Linked DNA regions of Caenorhabditis elegans. The protein of the gene in region 3 interacts with the protein of the main gene of each other region in a pairwise test. Each region holds a gene or a part of one and is shown on either strand. Other genes may lie near its edges. The genes, in order: lin-36, F53A10.2, goa-1 and madf-11.

The links.
Region 1: the proteins of goa-1 (region 3) and lin-36 interact in binary tests that used the Caenorhabditis elegans proteins (3 or more experiments, as listed by UniProt).
Region 2: the proteins of goa-1 (region 3) and F53A10.2 interact in a two-hybrid assay, tested with the Caenorhabditis elegans proteins (2 studies listed by BioGRID).
Region 4: the proteins of goa-1 (region 3) and madf-11 interact in a two-hybrid assay, tested with the Caenorhabditis elegans proteins (one study listed by BioGRID).

The regions. Positions count from the first base shown.
Region 1 is NC_003281.10:8,016,117-8,022,772, forward strand, and holds lin-36 (Protein lin-36), read right to left. Parts: upstream 4,758-6,656; 5' UTR 4,755-4,757; coding exon 4,656-4,754; intron 4,600-4,655; coding exon 4,501-4,599; intron 4,426-4,500; coding exon 3,842-4,425; intron 3,741-3,841; coding exon 3,620-3,740; intron 3,545-3,619; coding exon 3,006-3,544; intron 2,905-3,005; coding exon 2,496-2,904; intron 2,373-2,495; coding exon 1,968-2,372; intron 1,902-1,967; coding exon 1,444-1,901; intron 1,396-1,443; coding exon 1,329-1,395; intron 1,114-1,328; coding exon 1,006-1,113; 3' UTR 532-1,005; downstream 1-531. Other genes in the region: F44B9.5 (Lipid droplet-regulating VLDL assembly factor AUP1 homolog), read right to left, coding at 83-230, 298-421; F44B9.2 (uncharacterized protein), read left to right, coding at 6,347-6,656. UniProt on the Caenorhabditis elegans protein: Required to negatively regulate vulval development. Antagonizes Ras-mediated vulval induction. Acts cell autonomously.
Region 2 is NC_003280.10:1,222,620-1,230,371, forward strand, and holds the start of F53A10.2 (Rap-GAP domain-containing protein), read left to right. Parts: upstream 1-1,731; coding exon 1,732-2,250; intron 2,251-3,148; coding exon 3,149-3,247; intron 3,248-3,491; coding exon 3,492-3,677; intron 3,678-4,478; coding exon 4,479-4,898; intron 4,899-5,650; coding exon 5,651-5,896; intron 5,897-6,310; coding exon 6,311-6,855; intron 6,856-7,026; coding exon 7,027-7,090; intron 7,091-7,142; coding exon 7,143-7,357; intron 7,358-7,704; coding exon 7,705-7,752.
Region 3 is NC_003279.8:7,520,587-7,527,243, reverse strand, and holds goa-1 (Guanine nucleotide-binding protein G(o) subunit alpha), read right to left. Parts: upstream 5,129-6,657; 5' UTR 5,035-5,128; coding exon 4,874-5,034; intron 4,574-4,873; coding exon 4,432-4,573; intron 3,213-4,431; coding exon 3,052-3,212; intron 2,848-3,051; coding exon 2,719-2,847; intron 2,671-2,718; coding exon 2,541-2,670; intron 2,206-2,540; coding exon 2,052-2,205; intron 2,000-2,051; coding exon 1,926-1,999; intron 1,503-1,925; coding exon 1,389-1,502; 3' UTR 532-1,388; downstream 1-531. UniProt on the Caenorhabditis elegans protein: Guanine nucleotide-binding proteins (G proteins) are involved as modulators or transducers in various transmembrane signaling systems. In the 1-cell embryo, probably together with gpa-16, controls nuclear rotation and spindle elongation during mitosis.
Region 4 is NC_003281.10:5,599,877-5,605,304, reverse strand, and holds madf-11 (MADF domain-containing protein), read left to right. Parts: upstream 1-1,853; 5' UTR 1,854-1,874; coding exon 1,875-1,941; intron 1,942-1,986; coding exon 1,987-2,078; intron 2,079-2,122; coding exon 2,123-2,384; intron 2,385-2,432; coding exon 2,433-2,704; intron 2,705-2,830; exon of another isoform or gene 2,831-3,106; intron 3,107-3,125; exon of another isoform or gene 3,126-3,251; intron 3,252-3,273; coding exon 3,274-3,501; intron 3,502-3,543; coding exon 3,544-3,596; intron 3,597-3,644; coding exon 3,645-3,928; intron 3,929-3,972; coding exon 3,973-4,112; intron 4,113-4,549; coding exon 4,550-4,702; 3' UTR 4,703-4,918; downstream 4,919-5,428. Other genes in the region: xnd-1 (X chromosome NonDisjunction factor), read right to left, coding at 1-46, 94-185, 236-425, 472-844; wdr-37 (WD repeat-containing protein 37), read left to right, coding at 5,254-5,428.

The DNA.
Region 1 (6,656 bases), on a different chromosome or scaffold from region 3:
TACGGCAAGCTTCCAATTTTTCAGTAACTTGTTTCTATTTTTTTGGAGATATCAAATATTTTTCAAAAAAAAAATCACAAACCTGTGACCAGATTTTTCAACGACAATTCCGAGAATTGAGCACATAATTCGAAGAGTGTGCATTCTCAAAGCAGCAGATTTTCTGAGTAGACATGCAACAATAAATGTGTGGAAACCGAGGAAAACACGAATTAAAAGAATAATTAAACCTGAAATTTTGATTTTTTAAAACTTTTACTTTTTGGAATGTGTCAAAAAATTTGAAAAAAATCTCACCAACTGGAGCATAAATAATCGAAAATATTTTAGCAATCGTATCTTCATTTCGTTTTTGATGGAATAAATCTTCGATACGAAGATCTTCTGTATTTCCAGAAGACGATGCTTCTGGTGATGCCATTCTAAATTTTAGGATTTTTTTAAATTTTTCATGGTTTTTTCAAAATATAATGTTATGGATAATCAGGTAGCCTATAGAAAAAATAATCTGAAAACTCTTTTCAAAAACCTACCAAGCAAAATCATTTATTTATTGACTTTTAGTCATATTTGGCACACAAACGCACATATCTTTCAAACTTGAATGTAATTGAAAACTAGGGAAACGTTTAAATAGACTTTGGCTCATTTTTTGTGAATAATTCAGATTAATTTATGATAGAAAAAGTGTGGTTTTTGGGGAGGGGGCGGGGGCTTATGGAAAGTAAAACAAACTATTAATTTTGGAAAGTAAATTATAGGGGGGAGGGGGGGTAAAAAATGGGAAAAAAGTAAATGTGAAAATCCTAAAAATCTAGACGAAAATCTATCCTAGTCGGAGTTTTTATCAGATTTCAAGAATTTCGAATGAAAGTAAAATGGGATAACTTCTGTGGATATAAAACAGAGATAGTTCACATGAAAGAAATGTGGGGCGATCCTCGAAAGGACAATTGACTTTTGAATCTTGAATTTTGAGGCACTTTCTTTGATAATTAAAAATAATTATTGTTGAGAATCCGATGATCCTTGTCCTGGAAATTGTTCTTGCTGCTGTTGTTGTTGTTGTTGTTGTTGTTGAAGTTCACGCCATTTTGGATCTTTTTTGGTGAGCTGAAAATCATAAGAATGAAACAAACTGATTGATAACGCCAAATAGCGGAGAAAACATGTTTTTAAAATAAATTGTGTTGTGATCAGTGATTTTTGATGTTTCAATCGGAATTTTTTCAAAGCAAATGGTTTCAAATTGAGAACAACATAAATAAAATCTTTTAAAAAACGAAAATTGTTACTAAAATTCAGAATTGAAACTAATAAAAACATACCACTTGTGCTCCATCGTTAGAGTAGAAAATTTGATAATCTTCAGTCCTTTCGCCAAACAGACGAGCTCTGCAAAAAATTAAACGATTTATCAAAGTAGACCTCCCATGGGCTCACCTGGCTCTCGCAGCTTCAATTTGCCGGATGCAATGACGGGAAAGTCTCATGTCAGCGCGCATTTTCGTCACGGTGCGACATTTGATAGCGTCTTCCATTGCTCTGTAGTAATGAGCATCTTTCATCATTTCTTTTGAGATTTCTTCCATATCTTGATCTTTAACTGTTCCACTTGAACCATCCATCTCAAGAGCCTCTGCCAGCGTAAGCATCGGTTGCCTCTCGGAAGATGTTGAAGAAGTGGCAACATCTTCAGACGATGAGTTTCCCATAGAATCAATGACTTCTTCGACCATTTCAACTTCCATATCCGTTGCTGGAATCAGATACTCATCAGAAACAACCACCGGAGAAGATGCTGAGAAGTTTGGCGATGACTCGTGATGGGAGAGTGTTGGTCGTGGAGTTGATGTTTTTTTTCGTGGTGAAAGGATCAGTGGTCTTCGGGAGAGCACACTCTGAAGCAATAAATTAGAAAAAATATCAAAGTCTCCTAATAAATAATTCTAATATATTAAACTTACCGGTCTCTTAGCAGGCCCTTTTTCTTGTGCAACAGCTCCCATAACTCTTTGAGAAAAGATCCCGCCAGGAGAGGATGAAGTTGGTGGTCTTGATATGACTCCAGAAGATAATGAACGTCCTCCACCAAGTGATGCAGTAGCTGTGAACGATTCTAATGGAATCTGATATTTAGCCATCGAAGGACGAACTCCAGCAACAAAAGATCTCGCGAGCATTGATTTTAGAGGGCGTTCTTCCGGCTCTTTTTCTACTGGTGCCGGTTTTGCGACAGGAGTTGCTGGTTTTTCAACTTTTTGAACAGCACTCTCCTTAGTTTTCGATCGTGTATTTCTGGCGATAAATTTTTGACTTGTTGTCGGTTCTGGTGTCTGCTCCGAAGATGTCACTTTGTCTTCTGGCTCCGTCTGAATAAAAAACATTATCCTAGTAATTCGAATTTCAACATGCTACAAAGTAAAAGAGGAATTTCAAAAGTTACAAATTAAGTTCTAATCTATTATTTAATAAATTCAGTAAATAAAACTCACCGAAGAAGTAGCAGCGATCCCTTTGGCCAAATTATAAGCCAAGGCCTTTCTCGGCTTCTTCGTTGCTGCTTCTTGTTTCTTGAATTGTTTGGCATTGATCAATCGCTTAACTTGCTGAGATCTTTTCTGAACCATTTTGGCAAATTGTTCATCTCGTTCCTTCAAACGAAGACGTTCACGTGGATCATTTGGTGAAACTGTTGGTTCTCTCTCTACACTTTCAGGAGTTGGATCGTGTTCTTCTTCGTGTGAAATTTTCCGTTTCTTAGCTGGAGTTGATGGAGCTGTAGCAGGAACTTCGTGTTTTGCCACCTTCTTGATTGGTGAATTTGTAGCGGAAGTTGCGAGACGTGTTGCTTTACGTCGTTCACCAGATCCCATTGGAGCTTGTGGAGACTGATGGGAAGTTCTAAAAAATTTAATTGCTTCTTTGATTTCCATTTAGTAAGATTTTTTAAATTTCGTTACGCAGGATGTTCTCTAACTCGAACATTTTTTGACAAAACTTACAGTTCAGAAACATCGTCTGACTCTTCTTCTGCATGTTTTTTCTGACTGCTCTCTTGCTCCTTCGTTCCTTGAGCCGATTCTTCTGCTTTTGTATTAATCTCTGCTTCTCTTCTCAATTGCAGAAACACTTGTCGCTGCATTACGTTCAGATCATTCACACTTGTACCACCTTCTTTTCCAACAAACGATAATGTCCTCACTGCCTTCTTTCTCTTCTCTTCATCGTGAACCATTTTCGTACGCTCTTCTGGATTTTGCACGTAGGCTTTTTTCGTTGGTGAAGGTGTGAGTACGATTTCATTTGCTGGTGGTTCACAGCCGTGATATGCCACATAAACGTTGCGACGAGTCCAGTTATCCCAGCTTTCCGCTGGATCCAACTCAGTAGCGCGGCAGTTCATTTTAGCGAATTCATATATTCTACGAAGATGACAATGATGAATGGGGCCAGCATTCAAGTGACGACGATATCCAGATATTGTCTTGTAACCATATGTGCATTTTCTACAGAATGGGCACATGAAGCCAGCTTCTGGGACCTGTGAAAAATATTAATTTTTGTTATAAGAATTATGTGATAAAATAAGAGTATTAACTAAAAAGCTTGAACTTACATCCAAAACATTATCTTTTTTCTTGAGCATTTCCTCCGTGTGATTGAGAAGATGTGTCTGAAGCTCGACAACACTGCACGAGTGGAACTCACATACGGTACAGACCCATGGCACTCTGGAACTTTTATAAAATCGTGAAAGAGGATGTTTTAGCCAAAAATCGAGCTAACATATTCATTCACAAGCTTTTTCGTTTCGAGCAGAACCAGCTTTTCTTCTTACCTTTTTTTACTCGGTGTCGTCTTAACGTCTGGTGAAATAGCAACAGGAACTCCAAAAGCTTCGATGGCAGATTTGTTGAAATTGTGATTCCTGAAGCACTCCTCGGCGAAGTGCTCAGTACAAATTGGACCGGCAGCAATTGAAAACGATACAGGACCCATTTTACTGCGAAGAATATCTTTGTATTTGAATCCAAGCAAATTTGCCCAAATTCTGCGCCTATCCAAGTCTGCTGGGAAGTTTAGATGCATCTCTCCCGATTTCATTACTCGATTACAAACTGTACATGGCTTATGAGTCAAATTGGAGTATGGAGAAAACTTCTTGAAATGATCAACAACATATATTCTCAGTCTCCCATTTGACATCCGGTACACTTCTAAATGCTCTCCATCTGGCGGAGTTCGTGTCATTCGGCTTAAAGTCTCCGGAATAACTTGGCACGGAAAACTGGAGTAGACACTTTCGCCTTTGCCGTGGATAATTTCTTCTCTTGGTTGTGACGACGAAGCTTGTTTAGTTGGAGTGACTTGGCTTTCATCAAGAACTTCACCACTTGATGTGACAGTTGGCATTACGGGAATCTGAAAATAAAATGATGTATTCTATTCCGGCCAATGGGCACATGCATTAATACGAGAATGAAAATGTAAACGTACATCGTGTTCGTCCTCATCTTCTCCTATTACGTCAACATCACCCTCAGTTTCCTGCAATGCGTCTACAGTTGAGGATTCTTCACCAGAATGCTGTGAATCCTAAAAATGCATTGATATTCATAAGCGGCGAGAATGTTTCTCAATTATCACCATACCTGTTCAACTGAGTGCACCGTCACGTGTGAGTCTTCTGGTTCTTCAATATCATTATAATCCCTTTTACTGGGTCTAGTACTCAGCAATTCTTCCGACATTTCCTGCAATCAAATATTTTTGGAAAAGCCTTTCTTTTGCAAATTCTACACATTTTGAGCACAAAAACAGAAAATACAGTGAATTTAATTGTTTAAAACGCTCAAGAGATACAAATAATAACGAAAAACATTGATAATAAGTGAAAAATGAGTCGAAAGTGTAAAAATCGATAATTGTCCGGCCAATTTTTGTACAATTCTGGCTCCCACTCATCTGATGTACGCAAACACCGCCACGCGCGGTTGCGTACTTTTTCTATGACGTCTCTCCGTTTGCTACGCTCTCTCGCCGAACAAGCGACTTGGAACTGGAGGGACGTTGAATTGATGATATCAATATGGAGACAGGTCATTTGTATAAATGATTGACACCAATTTATCCAAAATACCACGGAGATAACACCAGGAGTTTGAGAAGTACATATTCGTTAACAATAAGTGATTTAAAGCAGGGGAATTAATTAATTACAACGGGAACATCATAAGCTTGGAACATTTCGTTGCCAAATTAAATCGAACGGAAGACAGTTTTCTCTAGGTTCAGGTATAGTAGAAGCTTGAGCAAACATATGCGTATAGTAAGTGATGTTTACTCAGGTACTCATATTCTATTAGATACCGTACCCCGAAAACTAGAAATAGGATTTCTAGTTTTCGGGGTACGGTATCTAATAGAATGTCTTCCAGAAACGATTATAACAGACACGTAATCTGGGTGGAATGCTGAAAAATAATTCTGATTTTTATTTAGAAAAATTATTTCAGAAGATGCATCTTCCTCTTAAGATGCTCTCAATTTTTCTTCCGTACACAATTAAAAATCATAATCTGGTGACAGCTCATACAGAAGCGCAATTCTTGCCCTGGCTTGTGAAGTGATTACATTTTTCGAAAATTATAATGTATTATTCGTCTGAATACAATACTTAGCACGAGCAAAAGATTTCAAAGATGACAAGTCATTAGACATCTCTTCATAAAAGCGATTACGGTATAACTTCTTATTGGGAGTCGACTTAAACCCCCAAAGACAAGAAACACATTAAAAAACAAATAGTGAAAAATTCTTAAACTCAATAACAAACAATCAGACTACCGTACTCACACAAATGAAAGTTTTCTGCCATCTGTACTTTTAATATCCGGCCTCTCTAGGGAAGCATTTGTAAAAAAATTGTTTCATGGTTTAATCAAGTTACAATAAATTGTAGCTCGCGTAAATGTTCATGCATGAATCTTAAATTTCCAGGTGTCAATTTTCCAAAAACCTATCTTCACTTCTCAAGTCTAAAATCTCTCGGATCCCTTCCTTCTCCTCCCCCGATTTCACTGATCAAGTCCGTGTGCAACTCTGCGTATCTTCATCTTACACACTATTCAGTGTTTAATGCTCACTCAGGCGGGCTCAAAACAGTGTAAAAATGGCCTCTAAACCCTCTTCCGTCGTTCTGCCAATTTCTCTATTGCCAACAAAACAACCAACATGCCATCCATATCACTACTACTACAAGAGTTTTTTTTGAATAAAACCAATCTCGCATACTTTTTCTACTTTATGAAGCATCAAAACTCAGTACAATTTCTATTTTTAGATGGCTGACGATGAAGATGATATAGTTTGGATTCGTGAAGATACAGCTCAATCATCAGTTCCAACATCTCCAACAACTCCAGCAACTATCATTGAAGCTGCACCTGTATTGAGTGATGCATTTGATAAACCAATTCTAAAATCAGTTGAAACTATTTCTGTATCAAATGGACCACCTGAAGTCACAATCAGTGCTCCACCACCAACTCCTCCAGCTGCTCCATTAGCCCCACAGATAACTCCAATGGTGCTTTCAACAGTTCCAGATGCAGCTCCTGCTCAGGATATTCCAGCTTTAATTTTAGCTGCAC
Region 2 (7,752 bases), on a different chromosome or scaffold from region 3:
AATAAAATCACTTTAAAAATGCGCAAAAATGTTTGAATGAGTTGTTTTACAACTTTATTCAACTTACAAAAATATTTCAAAAATAGAAGGAATCGAACCAAAGCTTAAATCTTATCAGACGCGCGCACTCCCAACTCGGCCACCGAGGACATTTTTCAACTCAATGTGGTGGGTGTCACATTTTCGGTGGTCACGCAAGCTGAGATTTGCGTGGACTGCATGGCTAGACAGTGGATTTCAATGGTGTTTTTAACTGAAATTTCAAAACGTCATAACTTTGCTGAAACTTGACCGGGGCAGCTAAATTTTTTGGAGAGATCATAACTAACACTCTTCTGTAGGAATTTTAGCATGAGAACCCCAAATCTACGGACCCCCTCAAAGACTTCCCTTGTGAGTTTGGAGTTTTTATTGATTTTAGGGGCTTTTGGAGCTGTATTTTCTAAATTTAAAATGTGAAAATCAGATTTAGAACCAAATTTTACCTATTCGCCCAAGTTTTTAATTAGTTTACGGTCGTATAAATGAACTGGAATTTTTAGCAATTTTCAATGTGAAATTCAAATTCAGCATGAGTTTTAGGGGTTCTACTTTAACTTTCTCTAACTTTCGCTGAGTAGCGACTCGATAAACACTGTGATGCGGAGTTTTCTTAATTGCCATGAAACTTTTTTTTCACATGTGGTGTCAAAGTGTCCCATTTCGGTGTGATCTACCAAAAATGCGGGAATTTAATGTGGAGCAGACTTCTCAACAGATTTTGTATGGTTGAGAGCGTGCTGACGTCACATTTTCCTCCACAGGAAATTCCCGCATTTTTTGTAGATCACATCTTAATATTTTTAAAAAAGTATCTCGCCACTTTATAAAGCTACAACAAAATTTTCAACCTATCCTCATAAAAATTGGCAGAACTCCGTATAAAAATGGAGCTAAAATTCAAGCCTAAGTCTAAGTCTTAAGCCTAAGCCTAAGCAGAAGCCGTAGCATGAGCCTAAGTCTAAGCCTAAGCTCAAGCCTAAGTCTAAGCCTAAGCCCAATCTCAACCCTACGCCTAAGCCGAAGCCTAAGGCAAAGCCCAAACCTGAGCCTAATCCTAAGCCGAATCCGAAGCCTGAGCATCATCCTAAGCCTAAGCCTAAGTATAAGCCTAAGCATAAGACTTATCTTGAGCCTAAACTGTGTTTAAGCTTAAATTAAAGCCTATGCCTGAGTCAAACTTTTTGAGTCGCTACTCAGCCAATATTTCAGCGACTATGCCCAATCTCAAATCTAAACCTAAACCTAAGCCTAATCCTATGCCTATGTCTAAGCCTAGACCTAAACTTGAGCCTGAATCTTAGCCTAGGCCTAAGCCTACGCCTCAGCCTTAGCCAACACCTACTCCTGGACTTAAGTTGCTACTCAGCCAATATTCCCGCCACTTCTCCGAACTTTTTCTCTTTGCCTAAAGTGCATTCATGTGTTCGTTTCATCATTTTTCATTCACTCTTCCACACCTCTCAAAACATACAAATATATATACAAACATATACATACATACACATTTAGGGCGCATCCATTTCCTATTATTTGTTCAAAACCATCTCCCCCATCATTCTCCCCATTTTTTGACCATTTCTATCCATTTTTCCCCTGGAAAAAATGCTTCCGTCTCCCGATTATTTCTCGATATTTCAAGCTCAATCTCCTATCAGTTGTAGCCCAAGACGTCTAGCTTCAACTAGACGAATGCTCCACTTTATAGACTCATCCGAGTCCGAGGATGATCTAGACGAGTTGCCACGTCATCTACCGCCCGTGATTCGGAGGCTGGCTCCGTTGCGGCATGCCACGTCACAATACAATCTGAGATCCACTGGCAGCACCTCTTCAGACTCCTCCACGGCGTCGGAAAATGATAAATGCTCCGATTTTTCAAGCCTAAAATCCCGCCGGGCTTCTTGTATTGAGCTTAACAAGGAGGATGAGTTCAAGGTGATGGCTGCTGATAAGCTTCTGATGGCTATGGAGAACATGAAGCATGCCACGTCATCACAGGCGATACGATGGAGGACGACTTCTACGGAGTCTCTGCCAGGGATTATCAAGTCGAATAGACGGCACTCGAAGGGTCCGCTGGAGTTGATTCAGGGCCTGATGGCCAAGAAGGCGGCCGTGGGGAGGCCCGCGAAATTCAAAAATTTGGGAGTTGTTGGACCGCCCACGCTTATTTCGTCGACGGTCTCGTTGCATGAGATTTCTGGATTTGTAAGGAGGGATCGGTTTTGGGGGGCTGAAACTGAGTCGCTATTCAGCCAATTTGAAGTTTAAGCTATTTTAGCTTCTGCTTAGGCTTAGGCTTAGGCTTAGGTTTAGGCTTATGCATAGGCTTATGCGCTTAGGCTTAGGTTTAGGCTTAGGATTATGTTTAGGCTTAGGCTTTGGCCTAGGCCTAGGCTTAGACTTAAATTTGTGCTGCATTTTTGTACTGATTTTTGTCAATTTTTATAGAGATAGGTTGAGCAATATAATTTTCTGCCGAAAAACTCTGAAATTGAGAAAACTAAACTGAGTCGCTACTCAGTCAATTCACCAAAAACTGAAATTTTTCTGTCTCTCACCATAATCAGCGAATTTTGTCACACTTATCCTAAAATTTTCAGCCTGAAAACTCTGAAATTGAGCAAACTCCGTATCACACTGAGCCGCTACTCAGTTAATTCTCCAAAAATTGAGCTAGAATCCAAATTCATGTATGGTGTCAGTTTTTTTGTGCTGAATTCAGAAAATTTATTTAAAAAATTCATTTCAATTTAAAAAATGATTTTTGCTCCTAGTATACATATAGTACAAAAAGTTCAGGATCCAATATTGTTACAACTTAAAATTCTTATACTTTGCACCGATTTTTGTAATCTACGCAAAGTTTTACAGCAGCTCCAAAGTTCTCAGCAATTTTCCATTAAACCTGACAAAACTCCGTGATTAACTGGGTCGCTACTCAGCCAATTCGCCAAAATTTGAGCTAGAAGGCTGAAAATTTGGGAATACGGGTAACCAAGCATACTGATTTTGAAAAAAATACTGAAAATTGAGAAAAATGACTTCAAATCCCACAAAACCACTTAGAAAACCTCGAAAATCCCCTTAACCTTCATTTTTCCAGACTCACAACCCAACTTCCGGTCACCAAAATGAGCAAACTCATCAAAAAACCAACGGATCCGCCGTACACAATCAATTGACCAGGAATATTATGAATGAGGTACATATGTGGTCACTTTTGCTCTCTAGTATTTGCACAAATTCTCACACTACGAAAAAGTAAATAGTACCTAGTAGTACTCATGGAAATGTTTGCTTTTCGTGAGAAAAAAACGAGAAAAAAAACGAGTTTTCAAGGAATTTTTTGGTATTTTTTGTGTTAGAAATTGGCAAAAACTTGTAGTATTCCATTCAAAAAATTCTCTAAAATTCTCAAAAAATTTCCAAAACTTCCATTTTTCCAGGTCCTAACAAAAGTGGGCCCATATCCACAAATAGTGCTACCATCAAATGGATTTTGGATGGATGGAGTCAATCAACAGCACCATATGGATGATCAAGTCAATAATATGAATGTGAACAGTTGTGCCAGATTCAAGCTGGAAACCGACGAGACTAGTCATTGTTATCGCCGACATTTCTTTGGAAGAGTAGGTTTTTTGAATTCTACGCATGGAGAGCTTTCAGAAAAGTACCCACAAGCCTATATTCCAAAAAAAAAGTTTTGGCTTGTAGGCGGCCTGAAACGGCCTGAATCGGCCTTTTTTTGATTCGCACGGTTAATGTTACAAAAAACGACAGTAAAGCAGCCCACTAGCCTTGTTTTTAGCAATATCGTTTTCCAGGTTTGTGCACGGCTTAAATCGGCCTGTAAGGGCTTGAAATAACTATTTCTAGAAACATAGGCTTGTGGGTACTTGAATAAAAGCCTATAACATAGTAATTTTGAATTTTTGACTTATATTTGTTGCATTTGAGTTTTGAGCCTAGAAGTGCTAGGTTTTCAAAAATCGACCAAATTTTATTTCCAATTTTGTGACAATTTTGCACAGGGCCTAGTAGTAACGTATTATTTTTGTCAATATTCGCATTGTTGAAACCGAGAGCTTTCAGAAACATACCCACAAGCCTATATTCTAAAGAAATAGATTTTCAGTCTAACTGAGGCCTGAAGCGACCTAAAACGGCCTGAAACGGCCTTGTTTAATTAGATTTGTTGAAAATGGATTCAAAAATCAAATATGCTGGTATCTATCATCTGATCACATATAAAAAGACAATACAAAATTTCAGGCCTAGTAACAGCCTAGATCGGCCTGAAACGGCCTAAAAATGCCTAAAATGAGTAGTTTTCAAAACATAGTCTTGTGGGTACATGTTGAAAACCATTTTTTACGACAAATTCAAATTTTCAATCAAAATTGCCATAACTTCGACGTAAAATTTTTCAGGAGCACCACGACTTCTTCGCCAACGACCCAATCGTAGGCCCACTGGTCCTTAGCGTCCGCACAGAAGTCATCTCCTCCTGTGACCATTTCCGTATCATTCTCCGTACCCGTAAAGGTACCATCCATGAAATTGTGTCAGCTACCGCACTAGCCGACCGCCCATCGGCTTCCCGGATGGCTAAGCTGCTCTGCGAGGAGATCACCACTGAGCAGTTCTCTCCGGTGGCATTCCCCGGTGGTTCTGAGCTTATTGTACAGTATGATGAGCATGTGCTCACGAATACCTATAAATTTGGAGTTATCTATCAAAAAGGCGGACAGACGACTGAGGAGCAACTTTTCGGAAATCCACACGGGAGCCCGGCTTTTGACGAGTTTTTGTCGATGATTGGCGATTCTGTGCAGTTGAATGGCTTTCAGGTAGGCAAATTGAGCGGCAAGTTTGATCTCTAGAAATTTAATCTCCGCCCACAAAATGGCATTGGTTTCTAAAACTCCAAAAATTCAAAAAAAAAATCGACAAAGAAGTTTCGAAAAAAAATTCTTCCTCAAAATTAAAATTTTTTGAAGAATATGTTTTGTGGTTACAGACTCCGCCCACAAATGGGCGGGGCTTCACCGACTCCGCCCACACAATGACAATTATTTATCCCAAAAAATTGGGTCACAAAACCACAGTTTCTCATCAAGTTGTCTAACTTTTCCATTCGTGAAAAGTAAGAAAAGGGGCGGAGCTTAGGAGACCATGCCCACAAAAGTTTTTTTTTTTGTATTTTCAGCAAAACGTTCAATTTTCGACTGAAAACGGGAAGGAAAATTACTTTTTATAAGCTCAGCACCATACAAAAATAGGCGTGGTTTGATAAACCCCGCCCACAAAATGGCCTAGATTTTGTTATTTTTTACGAATAATTTGAAAACATAATTTCAAGCTAAAATTTTCAAAAATTTTTCATATTTTTTTAATCAAAATTTTGCTAATAACGAGTAAACTATTTAATTTGAAATTTACAAAAAGGGAGTCGAATAAGGCTCCGCCCACAAAATGGCTCTTTTTTCCAGAACATTTTTTATAAATTTTTTGTCAAAAAAAAAAGCATATTTTGCTGTCACTTAGGCCCCACCCACAAAATGGACATGACGAAAAAATCTATAATTTTTCTAAATTTCAGAAATACCGCGGAGGCCTTGACACGGCCCACAACCAAACGGGCCATCAGTCCGTATTCAGTGAATTCAAAAATCGTGAGATCATGTTCCACGTGTCAACAATGCTACCGTATACTATTGGAGACGCCCAGCAGCTTCAAAGAAAACGGCATATTGGAAATGATATTGTGGCAATCATCTTTCAGGAGGCTAATACTCCATTTGCTCCTGATATGATTGCATCAAACTTTTTGCACGCCTATGTTGTGGTGCGTTTTCAGAGATTGATGAAATTTTGGGGAAAAACGTGAAATTTCGGCTAGAAGTTGATTTTCCAAGGTTTTTAGTAACAAATTCGAAATTGACAGCTTATTAGCTTCAAAATAAGTACCTACAAGCCTAGTTTTTGGAGAAATGGTTATTCTTGGCCGTTTGGGCTGTTTCAGGCCGTTTCAGGCCGTTTCAGGCCGTTTCAAGTCGCCCTCATTTTTGAAAACCGTTGTTTTTTAAAATAAAATTGATTTCAAGTTCACCAATTTCAAATTCAAGAGCATCTCAACTCAGGCCATTTCAAGCCAATTTAGGCCCTGAAATAGGCCGAAAACGTATTATTTTCAAACATAGGCTTGTGGGTACATTTTTAAAAGCTCTCAACGTGGCAAACGCAAATTTCAATGTTATAGGTCCAACCAATCGACGCCCTGACCGACCGTGTCAGGTACCGAGTCTCCGTGGCCGCCCGTGATGACGTCCCATTTTTCGGCCCAACCCTGCCAACCCCATCGATTTTCAAGCGAGGCCAAGATTTCAGAAATTTCCTGCTCACCAAGCTAATCAATGCCGAGAACGCTGCTTACAAGAGCTCAAAGTTCGCCAAACTTGCCGAGCGTACCAGAAGCTCGTTGCTCGACGGGCTCCACGCAACTCTACGCGAGCGTGCCGAGTTCTATGCCACACCACTACTAGAATCCACGTCATCAGGTGGCGAAAGTGCTGCCACCACGTCATCGTCATCCAACTCATATGGCGGCGGGATTTTGTCATCTGTGAAGAAGGCGTTTATCGGGAGAAGCCGGTCGGTTTCTCAGGAGGCTAGTCACGTACCACACCGCGCCGCCACGATTAATGTGACGTCACGGCCTAAAAAATCGATATCCTCGACGAGTTCGTCGACCAGTGCCCGGACACACTCACCGATTAGGGATGAGGAGGTTGTCAAGCCATATAGGTAAGGGGTTTGCGGGTTTTTTTTTTGGCGGGAAATTCAAATTTTCTAAAAAAAAGTGTTGGCGGGAGATTACAATTTACAGAATGTTTTGGCGGGAAATTCAAATTTTCAAAGAAAATTTCCCAAAAATTTTTCTGGCCAAATTATTTTTTTTTCACATTCAAATTTCAGAAAAGAATGGGAAATTTCATCTCAAGAGTCTCCGGATAACGAGCATGATTCGGATACTGGAATGGTAAGATTTTCAATTTTTTTTTTGAATTTTCAGCACAAATTTCCATTTCCAGGAATCCATGTCCTCCACAGAAATGTCAGGTCAAACTCGGGCTTCATCGTGCACATTTTGTGTAGATGACTTCCACGTGGCAGCAAATCATCAGTCCTCAGATGCAAAGCGTCTCGAGACCCTTTGTGTAGATGTTACACGACTTCAGAATGAGAAGCACGACTTGTTACGTCAGAATGTTAGCTGCAAAACTGATATTAAAAAGTTAAAGGATCGGTTAGTAATGTTTCAATTGAACAATTTGAATTCGGAAGACCGAGAGCTTTCGAAAAAGTACCCACAAGCCTATATTTCGAACAATTGAGATTTTCAGGCTTGCGCTCGGCCTGAAACGGCCTAAAATAGCCTGAAACGGTTTCGAATCGATTTATTATTTTGCAGCAAGAGTAAATATTCCGCACACTAACACAGTTTGGAAACTTAAATCGAAAGCCTATCCGCGGCCTGAAATGGCCTACGAGGGCCTGTAACGGCCTAAAATATCATGTCCTAAAAACATAGGCTTGTGGGTACTATTTCGAAAGCTGGTTTTTCACTGAATCTCATAATTTCAATACTTTCAGCCAAAGTGTGCTCTCCGAGGAGCTGGAACGCGCCAACGATGAGATTTC
Region 3 (6,657 bases):
CTCTTTTTTTTGGCAAATGAACAGAAAAAGTGAAAGTTTATCACATAGTGGGAGGAGGAGGGAAAAGCTGATGGAAAATGAACACAATTGTGTGACAAAAAGGACACATTTTTAGATGATTGTTGTAAAATTTAATGAAACTTGACATTTGGAAGGTTTTTCGCTTTAGTAACACTCACTTCCGGGTCATTTATCTTGAGAAAATCATTATCTGAAGACTATTTTTGGGGTTTCCCACTTTTGATGTTATAACAATAGGTTTTGATTTTTTTAAATCTTGGTAATGATGGGGAAATTGTTTTAAACCATGCTAATAATTCAAAATAACAATTAAATTTTAAATTCGCGCGCGAGGTTTAAACTTCTTGGTGGTTATTCAAAAAGGAGTTCAGGGAAATTTAAATTTTATCGAGTTTTAAAAATATTGGTTTTTTATCTAGACATATGTACGGTAGTCCCATATGCAATTTCCCATGCAAACTAAATCACTGTACTTTTGTATCCACCAAACTGAATTTGTACGAAAACTAGTTGAGGATGTCGTTTATATCAAATAAGATATCAATGAGTGGGTGCAGTCGACAATAAACCAATGCGGAAAATATCGTCTACTGCACACCATCGTGCTCACCGACAAAAAGCGAGACGATTTTAAAGAAAAAAGATGGAAAAATGAAAAAGTAAAAGAAAAAATAGGGAGAGGAAAACAGCGAGAAAAATGAGTTTGGAAGTGTGGTTTTAGGAAAAGGAGGGAAAATGGATGAGAGGGGAAGAGTAGAAATAGAAAAATACCAAAAATTAAAAATAAAATCTTTAAACATAGACAAAAGCTGCCATTATTTAACTGTTAACAGTGACTAGGTGTGTTGAAAAATGGGAGAAAAGAAAGAAAAAAGGGGCAAAGCTTTATAATTCGGGGTGAAGAGACCTTTAGGGGGTGTGTGGCGGAACGGGACGAATTCCAACTGAATTTAGATTTTTAAAGTTTTCTTGTTTTCAAATAGCGATAAGGCTACACGGGAGTGAGAAGGGCGGGGGATGTGGCGTGAATAATGACAATATATAATAAATAAGAAAAAAGGAAAAAATAAATAATTGTGAGTTTTATGTGTTATTTTTGTGACAGAAAAATTAGGGATCCTAGTTGAGAAAAAGAAGGGCGGTGAGACTATTATGAATGAATCAGAGGTTAAAAAAAAGCCCATATACATCTGAAATTGCAACTTTTTCCAAAAAATAAAAACAGTTGCAACCATAATGTACATGTAAAGCTCTCAAATTATAGATGCATACTCGGGGGATGAGAAAAATAACGAATCTTTAAAAATTTGGGAAAAGTAAGCAAAGATACACACAGAATGGTAGAAGAGGGCGGCGAAGACGACAGCTTAATACAAGCCGCATCCACGAAGATTATTGGCAATAATCACATCGGTGACAGCGTCAAACACAAATTGAATGTTAGTTGTGTCTGTGGCACATGTCATGTGGCAATAGATTTCCTGCAAATAAGAATATTATTTCAAAAGAAAACAAATTAAATGAAATAATGAATTAAAATTATTACCTCAACACTCAACTTTAACTACCTATTCAAATATGAAACTACAGTAACCGCAATATCGGAGAAAATGTCGAGATAGTAAAAATCTCAAATTTTGGTTGTAATTACTTAATTGAATACGATTCAGAGATTTTTCTGGTTATCATTTTCTGTGACAGATTAACAAAACAATTGAATATTCGTGTTTACTTAAAAAAAATTAAATTTTATAAATGTTTCACACTTCAAAAAATTTCCAAAATTAACTAGATATTAAAAATTATAAAAAATATTATTCTAGAAAAACAATTTATACTTTTCGTGGAACAGGAACCCCATAGGCTTCTCTGATTTCATTGATTTTTAGACTTTTTTTTCTTACCTTATTCGCTGATTTGTTTTTAGCCTCAAATTGTGCTTGAATATACGCAGATGCCTCGTGGTAGTCTTGTCGTCCTACAGGGATTAAGAAATTAAAACATTTATTGGAAATTCAATTAAATTTTACCTGAATATTCTGGGAAGCAGATCGTTAACGGGCTTTTCTTGATTTTCTCTTCAAACAGATCCTTCTTGTTCAGGAACAGAATAATCGATGTATCTGTGAACCATTTGTTATTACAGATCGAATCGAACAGCTTCAGCGATTCGTGCATTCGGTTCTGAAAATATGAAATAAGGAACAATAATGAATAATAATGAATAATGAATAATAGAATGAATAATAGAATATAATTTAAAAAAACGAGTAATTTTTAAATTATCATGTTTCTTTTATTTTGGCAAATATATTGTCGGTCAGAAGTTGCATTTTCGTTAGAAAAATTAGAAGAAGAACATTATTTTTATTATTGTAAAAGTCGACTCGAACGACCAAGTCATGATTGGAAAATCGTTTAAAAAACATAAAGTCTCTAAACGATATTTTCTAATTTTAAATTTTGTCTGTCTTTTTCAACAAAAAAGCTTCTAAAATATTAAAATATCAATTTCTCACTGTTGTCTCATCTTCGTGCAACACTTGATCATACTCTGACATGGCAACACAGAAAATAATAGCAGTAACATCTTCGAAACAATGAATCCACTTCTTCCTTTCTGATCTTTGACCTCCCACATCGAACAATCTGTAAATATTCATTATTAAATATTATTTTTTTATCAAGAAAACTCACTTGAAATTGAGATTTTTGAATGTGAAGTGAACTTCAACAATACCAGTTGTTTTGACACGAGTTCGGAGAATATCTTGCTCAGTTGGTTGATATATTGCCTCTCCTAACCTTTCCAGGTCGTCAAGGAAACTGAAAAAATGGTTATTAATAAATTCTATAAACTGCGAAATTTCTTGAAATTTTAAATTTGGTAATATTGAAAATGAGCTTGACATGTAACATATTGATTCGAAATTTAGGAAACTCTTCTCAATTTATGAAAAAAACCACTTTGGTTGTTATGGAGATAATAGTTACTTGAAATAATTTTTCAAAATTTTGAATTAAACTTACTATTTGGCTGAATCATTCAATTGATACTCGTTACTCCTTGAGAAACAATCCTGTACACCTGCGTCTCCCCACAACCGTTTCATTGAACTGAGCAATTCTTCTGAGAATGGCTCTGTGTCCTCCATTCGTGCCACCACATCCATCACTAATTTTGCATCTACCTGAAACAAAAAACTTTGATTTTAGTTCTCGATAACTTTATTCGCTGATGAAAATTGAATAATTCACAGCATGTCATGTACATCATTTTCCCAATTTTCTCACAAAATTGAAATTGGATCCTTGGCTCTCTTCCAATGGTTTGTCCAAAGGTCTCAAAATGGTCATTTTATTTCAATTATCTCAAATTACTTTATATTCGGTGACATGCATAGTCACGTCTTGTTAAGATTAAGGATATATATAAAATTGAATGATAAATGTTCGATCTTCACATCAAAAACTTTTTTACGTTTTCGACACGACAAATTTTTGTTGAATGCTAAAATATGTTTATATTTATTCTTACGATTTGTTAAAGTTAATTCGTAAATATTTGATTGTTATTTATTAATTTTTAAAATAAATGAATACGTTTTTATTGAATAACTATGAAAAATCGATTAAAAATTTGGCTGCAACGAAAATTAAACATTACAGTACTCTTTAAAGGCGCACACCTTCTTGCATTGAACACAAATTCATCGTATAAAAACCGGGAATTGCATTTGTGACGCAATAACAAAACATTTGACGTCTGAATGATGTAAAATCTTCTCCAAAACGTTGGGAACATTTTTTTCTGATGATTTGCCACATCAATCGAAAATGTGTTCCCAAAGATTTTCCAACATTCTAGAATCCCTTCCAAATCCCAATTCAAAATTCCTGCCTCGAACATATATTTTTGGAATACTAGGTCGAGTCTACGAGTTTGTCGGTGGCGCGTCGCGCATCGAAACTCACAAGGGAATTGGAATGGGACGGTGGTGTGGTAGCGGGATGCATTGAGTGCAACGAGAGGCAATAAGAGTTGCAGAATGTAAGAGAGAGAGAGAGAAAAAGATACCGAGCCAATGAATACAACAGATTATGTCATTTATTCTCATGCTCTTCGTTTTTCGTATCTTTTTATTCGTTATTTTCCAAATATTTCGAATTACTCTTCAGAACACGGGAAACATTTTTAATTGAATAATGTTTATGTTCTATCTATAGATCACAATCGCAAGTAAATTTCAGAAAAATAAGTTTTATTTTGAAGTAACGTTTTTGTCGTGCTAATCATTAGCAGCTAATGGACCGAAATTAATTTTTTCCATTAAGGGATCACTTGAAAATTTCGTGCCTCATTTTTAAATAATTTCGATTTTTTTGCAGAAAAATTGTCATAATACTCACCTCTCTGTCAGCCGAACCAAATGAAACGCCTAAGTTGCTCATGGCTCGCAAAATAGCGACCAATGATTGAACCGTGTTACTGTAGACAACCGGCTTGTACTGTTTGTAGTCTTCTGCTGTGAATCCCGATTCGTGAATAATTCTGAAAAAAAAACATTAAAATGTGAAAATTTGTAAAGGCGTGTTTCAAATTTAAACTATTAGAGAGTTGAACTTACTTTTCAAATTTTGAATACGAAAAAAAAATTAATAGCAGTCTCTAGTGATTTATTTACTTTTTAATTAAATTTAATTTTTAATAATTCAAATCGATCAAACGAAATATTCGGACGTTCTATGGGACAATTTCGGATGATAAATTCTGAGTTTTTCACCATTTATTTCTACCATTTTCGTTTATATATGTTTTAATTTGTTATTTAGAAATTTAAAAAAATCTCACTTCATCTGTTTTACAATAGTCGATTTTCCTGATTCTCCTGCACCAAGTAGCAGCAGTTTGATATCTTTTGCCGCTTGCATGCCGTCTTCTTTAAGATTTTTCTCAATCATTCGTGATCTTTCAAGAGCGGCACGCTCTTCCTGTGACATGGTACAACCCATGGCGCTAGAGTTGATGAACGGTGGACCCTATGCCCCGGTAGCGGTCTCCACTTGATATCCTCTACTCACTCACTGTATGTGGTGCAGCTCAGCGCTGAAAATAAATTGAAAAAATTAGAATCGAAGTAAGTTATAGCGGGTTAAAAAATAAGGAAAAGAAAAAGCAATCGAGCGAAAAAAAGGGACACAGTGAGATGGAGAATGAAGAAATGGATGGATGAGGGATCGAGGGCAGAATATAGATGAGATGAGAGGAGATGACAAAAATGACGAATGAGGAAAATAGAGGGTGCACGTCGTCAAGGCGACTAATTTTTATTGAATTTTCTTACTTTTTCATTAATTTATTTTAGTGGTAGAAATATGCAACCTACAATACTCTAAACAGGGCCTTTCTAATTTTTGCGCAAACATTTTTTCAAATCAGACGTTCTCTCAGATTTCTTTGGAGCAGCGTCAGTGGGGAAATTGTTAAAACGTTTGCATGTTCGAATCCCTGCAATGTTTGAGTACTAAATTCGAAGGTGAAATTTTTCTTGATCTACGACAGAAAAATGTACTAACTGTTAAACTTGCAGATGAACTAAATTAGTTATATTTCAAGAATGATCAGAGATTGTTCATTCAGTTTTCTATTTTAGAATCAATTGGTTTAATCTGAAATCGAAATGAAAATCAGCTAATCGAGGATAAACATGTTTTGCAAAATCAACCAAAAAGAAATTTTACTACATGCTTCCGGCCGGGTCAACGTTCTCCACAAAAAGGTTAGAAAATAGATAATTTGTAAAGAACAGAAGCAAAAAAATAGACGACAACGTCTTCGATTTTTCCGTTTTCACTGCTTCTGCTTCTTCTCTTTCTTCGTTGTCGTCGTCGTCCTTCTTTTTCTTTTTTTTTTGCGTGGCGCAAAAAAATGGGGGAGCAACTGCGACGACGACGGCGAGCAGGATGGTGGGGTTGGAGAAGGAAAATAGAGAGAAAAGCGAGGGCGAGGAGAAGAAGAAGGTCATGGGCATAGCAGAAAAGGGGTAGTAGTAGCCAGGGGCAGCCAGTAGCCGAAACAGGAGAGCCCCATCGTTCAGGGGGCAGCGACAGTGAAGACGAGGGTCGGCGGCTACTTGCGTTGCGTGTCGATTCGAATTTTAAATCATGATGAGGATCAGAACCATGCAGATATTCTAGTAGTCGGAGTTATCTGATCACAGGCGGCGTTTGAGTTAAAATCTTAAAATATTGCATAAAAACTTAAATTGTCTGACAGCCTTAATAGCGACTTTATGATGCCGAAAACTACTATTTAAAATTTAAGTTTCAATCGACGAACAGCGCCGTAGACTAGGTCTCCGTGAACCAAAAGCTATAGGAACATAAAGCCTTTTTCCATGTGCCTAATTGTTTTATTTTCATAATAAATGCATAGACAGCACTGGCAGCGATACACAAGGAGACATGTTGAGTGCCGTACACCGGAGACCACAGCTGGACCCTCTTACAGATTTTCCAGTCGAAGAACGGAGACGAGGGGACACGAATAATAAACAATGAGTGAAAGTATGAAAGGGAAAATCAAGAAAAGATAAAAATAGTGGATTACGCAGAAATAAAACCTTAACTTGAAAT
Region 4 (5,428 bases), on a different chromosome or scaffold from region 3:
CGCAGAAATTCCTCCTCATCAGAATCATAACTGTTTCGGAAGATATCTGAAGAGAAAATGAGCTTTAAAAAATCAAATTTTCATGGAAAATACCTCTTTTGGTTCGATTCGACTCAAATCTGGATATCAGAGATCGCTGTGGTGGAAGATCTGGTGGGCGTGTAGGGTCGGCCATAATTTTAATTCTGAAGACGGGTGATTGTTTTGTTTAATAAAAAACTTTTTAAAAACTAACGCTTCCTCCTCTTCGTCGAATCCAACAACGTCCACATCCTCATCAGAGTCTGTAAGCACTATTGGCTTAGATACAACAGGATTCGGATTTTTTGGAGAATTTTGTGCCTTTTCGAGTGTTACTTGTTGGTTATTAACAACTAACGGGGACTTCGACTTGTCTGTATTCTGAGAACGAATGACGTAGACTTCTGAAAACAATATTTTTATTTAACAGAGGACCATTTGCAAACAAACTTCTTCGTGGCAAATTTGGATCCGTAGCTTTTTTAACTGGCTTTGGTGGAGGTGGGAGACAGGAATCTCCGAATGAAGCCCATCCAATATGAGCTTTAGGTTCATAATTACTAGAAGATGCCGGTGGTGAATCAGTTTCGTCGTCGTCGTCGACTATCAGAAGATCATCGACGCTCAACGTTTTCTGGGATGTGGAAGGTTCATCATCTTTAGCAGTTTGCGGTTTTGGATCAACTTTTGGAAACTTGACCGCTGCTCGTTCTTCTTCATTCATAAAAGCAAATGACATTGGGGATATTGGTGGAAAAGCTGCGGGTGCAGGCTCTGTCGTCATGGAATTGTCTAGATTGGCAACAATGGGTTCAGAAGACATCCTGGAAACAAAAAATATGGAGATAAAATTTTTAAATTTAAATTTAAACTGTTTTTATTTACCAGAAAACTAGAAAATCCCAATGAGAAAGAAGGGAAATTAATAGAAAAATAAAGTTTTAAAAATACCTAAATTTTCTACAGTACCCGAGGTCTCGCGAAGATTTTGGTCCGCAGTACGCAAACACTCTTATGCTTGTTTACCGTAACCACTGAAATATTTTTTCGTTGTTTTTCTTTATTTAAAAAAAGTTATCTATTTTTCGAAATTTATTGAAAATTTCACATTTCAAAACCGTCAATAATTCTTTTAAAATTCATTTTTCGCAATATGGATTTTCTTCAAATGTTAAACCAGAGTTTTCTTGTAATTCCTTGAACAAATCACATTTTTAAATCACATAACCATTTTCGTTTCTGGAAATCTTCACTTTGAAGTTGAATTCTTGTTAGATTATATTTGTTTAACTCTGAAAAATAGTTAAAATGTGTGTTTTTATATGTTTTGTTTCAGATTTCCCCTGCTTTGTTTTCCTTTCCTAGACTAAGTTTTTAAATTTCGATCAATCCTTTTTCTTCATTTTACCCTCTCAAAACCATTTATTTACTCACTTGAGAGACGCAGAGAAACCATCGATGGCCTAGATGTCTCGTCTCGCCTCCTTCTCGGCCACGCGCGCCTATCTATCGATGTTTTTCTGCCTGTTCGCTCCGTTTTCTTTTTCGAATCTTGACCGCTTCGCATGCCTGTTCCGTTGCGGTTTCTGAAGCGTTTCGGTTGCGTCGCGGTTCCCGGCTCCGCCCTACTACCCGTTCGAGTCTCCCACGGTCTGTAGCACGTCTATCACCTATGTGAATGAGTGTGTACGATCATCTTCTTGCCAATCGGGTTATTGGGTTCAATGGATCGTAGATTGATATGAAACTCGAATTCGGGAAGGAATCGCCACGCAACGCAGCTAGAAATGCTTGAGAAACTTGCGAGAATTTGAGAAGAAAATAAATTTCAGAATTATTATTAAAAATTTCCAATGAGCGACCGACGGCGGCACGGAACAGAGGATTATCAAATCGCCGGTCTCAAGCATTCAATGACAAGTAAATCGATATTCATAGATTCAGAATTTCCAATAATTTTTCCAGGTGTCGCCTCAAGCTCCCACGGTGGTGCTGGAGACCTCCAACAACAATTTTCCAGGGAAGATCCACCCGTAAAAACTACGCAATACACACTTGTAAGCTGGAAAACGTTTAAAATTCAAAATTTTCAAATTTTCAGCTTCAACTAATCAATATGGTTCGAGAAAATCCGATTCTCTACGATGAGGAGATGCAAGCCGCCACGCCGGATGCTCAGTTGAAGGTTCAGAAACGAGAAGCATGGGATCGGATACGTGCTGATATAGTTTGGCAGGACATCACTCTTGTTCAGGAAGTCTGGTCGGATCTTCTCGATCAATATGCTAGAAAATCGATTGATATGTCCGATGGACTAATTGAGGCAATGCGATGGACAGATTCATTGATTTTTAAGAAGAAATGTAAGAGTTTCTTGCAAAGAAATACACCAAAATCATTTATATTTTCAGCAGACTCTCGACCTCCTTCACAGCTCACCGCAATGTCCTCCGGACTGGATAAGGATTTCTATAATGACGTTCCGCTGGCAGAAGATGTATTAGAACCCGGACAAAGTCTCGGAAATTCTGAATCCATGAAGTTCGATTATGTGGTTATTCAGCCTCATGTTAGGCCACATCAACAAATTCCCACATCTTCATATTCCCGTCGAAAATCACCACAATCAAGAGAAACAGAGGCAATTGTTCGAACTTATCCATTATCGCCGAAGCGGATAGTGGTAAGTGCAAAAACGATGAAGTAATTACTACTCAGACCCTAATTTTTCCGATTTTTGCTGACTATGAGATAACCGGTCTCGTCACAACAATTTTTGTTAAATACGACAAGATGCGCGCCTTTAAGGAATACTGTAATTCCAAACTTTTGTTGCTACGGAATTTTCATCGATTTTCATAGCTTTTCAACAAAAATTTGAAATTACAGTACTCTTTAAAGACGCACACTTTATTGTATTTAACAAAAATTAGTCATGTCGAGACCTGGTACCGTATGTTTGGCGCAAAAATCGCAAATTTCACGTCTGGGTAATAGCAAAGGCAAGCATTCAAAAACCCCTTACCGGCCTCGCTTGCGGTGATGCACGGGTGGCCTACTGGCTAACACTCTCGTCTGCAAAGCAACAGTCCACAAGTTCGACCCCGCTTCATGGTGCATTACACTTTGTAACTTGCATTGTGTGCGCGACTAATGAAGCAATACCAATATCTGCAGTATCTGCTCATTCGCCGTGTTGTAGTTGATGAGCTCGTAGTCCGATAACAATTTTTTGATTTTTTTTCATTCCAGCAACAGCATCGTATGCCACAGAAGAATAATCCAGACCAACAACATCAAATGAATGAAGTCAAAAAGGAAGTTAATCCGTTTGGACGACAAGGTGTATTGGTGGAGGTGGAACCATCACCCTCCTATGCTCAATCGAATACGAAAATTTACAAAATGGTCTCCGCGCATAGAAGTGCAACGCCGCAACCTGCAGTTACAGTGGCTTCATCTAGAAGATTGGTACATATGGTAGGAAAAAATAATTTATTTAAATAAGAATTAAATTTTCAGCCTCACCGAACAAACTCCCTGGTTTATGATTCGATGCCAGAACTTATAGATTCGTGAGTTTTTTTTTTACTTCTTAAACTTCACTTAATAAAACATTTCAGTTCAAATATGCCATCGGAACCACCAAAAAAGAAAATACACTTGGAAGTGGGTCATCGAAATAGTGAAATGGTCGGTGTATCAACCTCATCAAATGCCCCGTGTCTACCCAAAGAAATTCTAACCGATGGAGTCCCAATTGCCGACGATGAGATTATTTTAGAAGCTGATGGAGAGTGTAAAATAGGTTCTGGAATGCTTCTGGAATCTCAACAATCAAGTTCACAAAATCATGAAATGGATATGCCATCAACTTCAATGGATCATTATCATCATCAAGATATTGGTAATTTTTCGCTGGAAAAATATGAATATTGAATGAATTTTCAGATGATGGGGGTGTTGGAGATGATATTGAGCAGCAAGTGGTGGTTGGAGGACCTTCTGATGAAATGGCGATACAATATGATGAAGATCTCGCATTTCAACAACATATCAATAGTGTCTTGAACAGGTTATCTGATGATGAGGTAATTTTTGGTTTTTAACAAAATTTACGCGGAAGAGTTTTAAAAATTCGATTTTTCATTAATAAATTGGAGTTTTATACAAAAATTCGAATTTGGATATAAAAAATTTTTTATAGGAAGAAATGTCATTTGCTTACAAAATTTAAATTTTGAGAAAAAACATTGAAAATTGTGGACAAAAATCGAATTTCTCAGAAAAAAGTGAAATTTTCCAAAAAGAAAAAAATACAAGCAAACTTGAAATAATCCTGGATTCAAGTCTTGAGTTACACAGGAAAAATTGTTTTAAAAAATGAGCTAAAACAAAAAAAATCAAATTATGTTCAATATTTGTAATAAATCAGCCTAAAAATCATTGAAGTTCCCATTGAAAAATCACCAGGCAAACTTCAACATCAATATTTAACTTTCGAAATATTAAAAAAATCTATTTTCAGAAATCCGTGATGAAATTCAACATGCAAAAAATTATACTCGACGCAAGATTTGGCTTAGGCACAGCCCGAAATATGCTTAAACACGATGAGATGCTGGAGGTAGAGTCACACGTGGAAATTGATCCGAATCACGAAGTTCCTGAAGAGATTTAGACATTAATTTGACGTACAATGCTTCTGTAATATTTAATTTGTTTTTTTCTTTTTTTCTGAAAAAAATCCATCCTTCTCCCGAAATCAATCATATCAGTGAACATAACGTATTCTTTTTTCTCTTTTCTCCTTTTCTCTCAAAAATATTTATTTTATTTTTTTCGAATATTGTCATTTGTCATAATTTTCAGATGAAATCAATAACATTTTTAATTTTAACAGGAATTGAAACCTTTTTAAATATGGATTTGTCGTCCTTGTGAATATTTATTTTCTTCTAATTTGAATTTTTCAGAATTAATATATAGATTTTTTTTGAATCTGCCTCAAAATAATGGCTTTTAAACCTAAAACCCAACAAAAAATCATTTTTAAATTAAAAACGGGCTGGCAGTGAATCTTTTTTCAATAAAAACTAAATTTAACAGAATGAAAGAAACCTAATTATCAGGAAAATTTTGGAATTTATGAGAGCAAGTTTGAAAAAGGATGAAACAAATTTGCCAATAAGTTTTGCATGTTATAAATATTATTAATTTTGCAGTGGGTCAATGCCACAATCGGAGAATTCAAAAGATGCCGAAAAAGAGAAGGTGATGCGTTCACGACGTGGTACTGTCGATACAGAGATCAGCGGAGCACTCACAGTTCTTCAGAGCTCATTGGACGTTGACGATGCTCCGTATCGAGCCCGTCTCTATCAGCTCTTTGGGCACATTGAAAAGG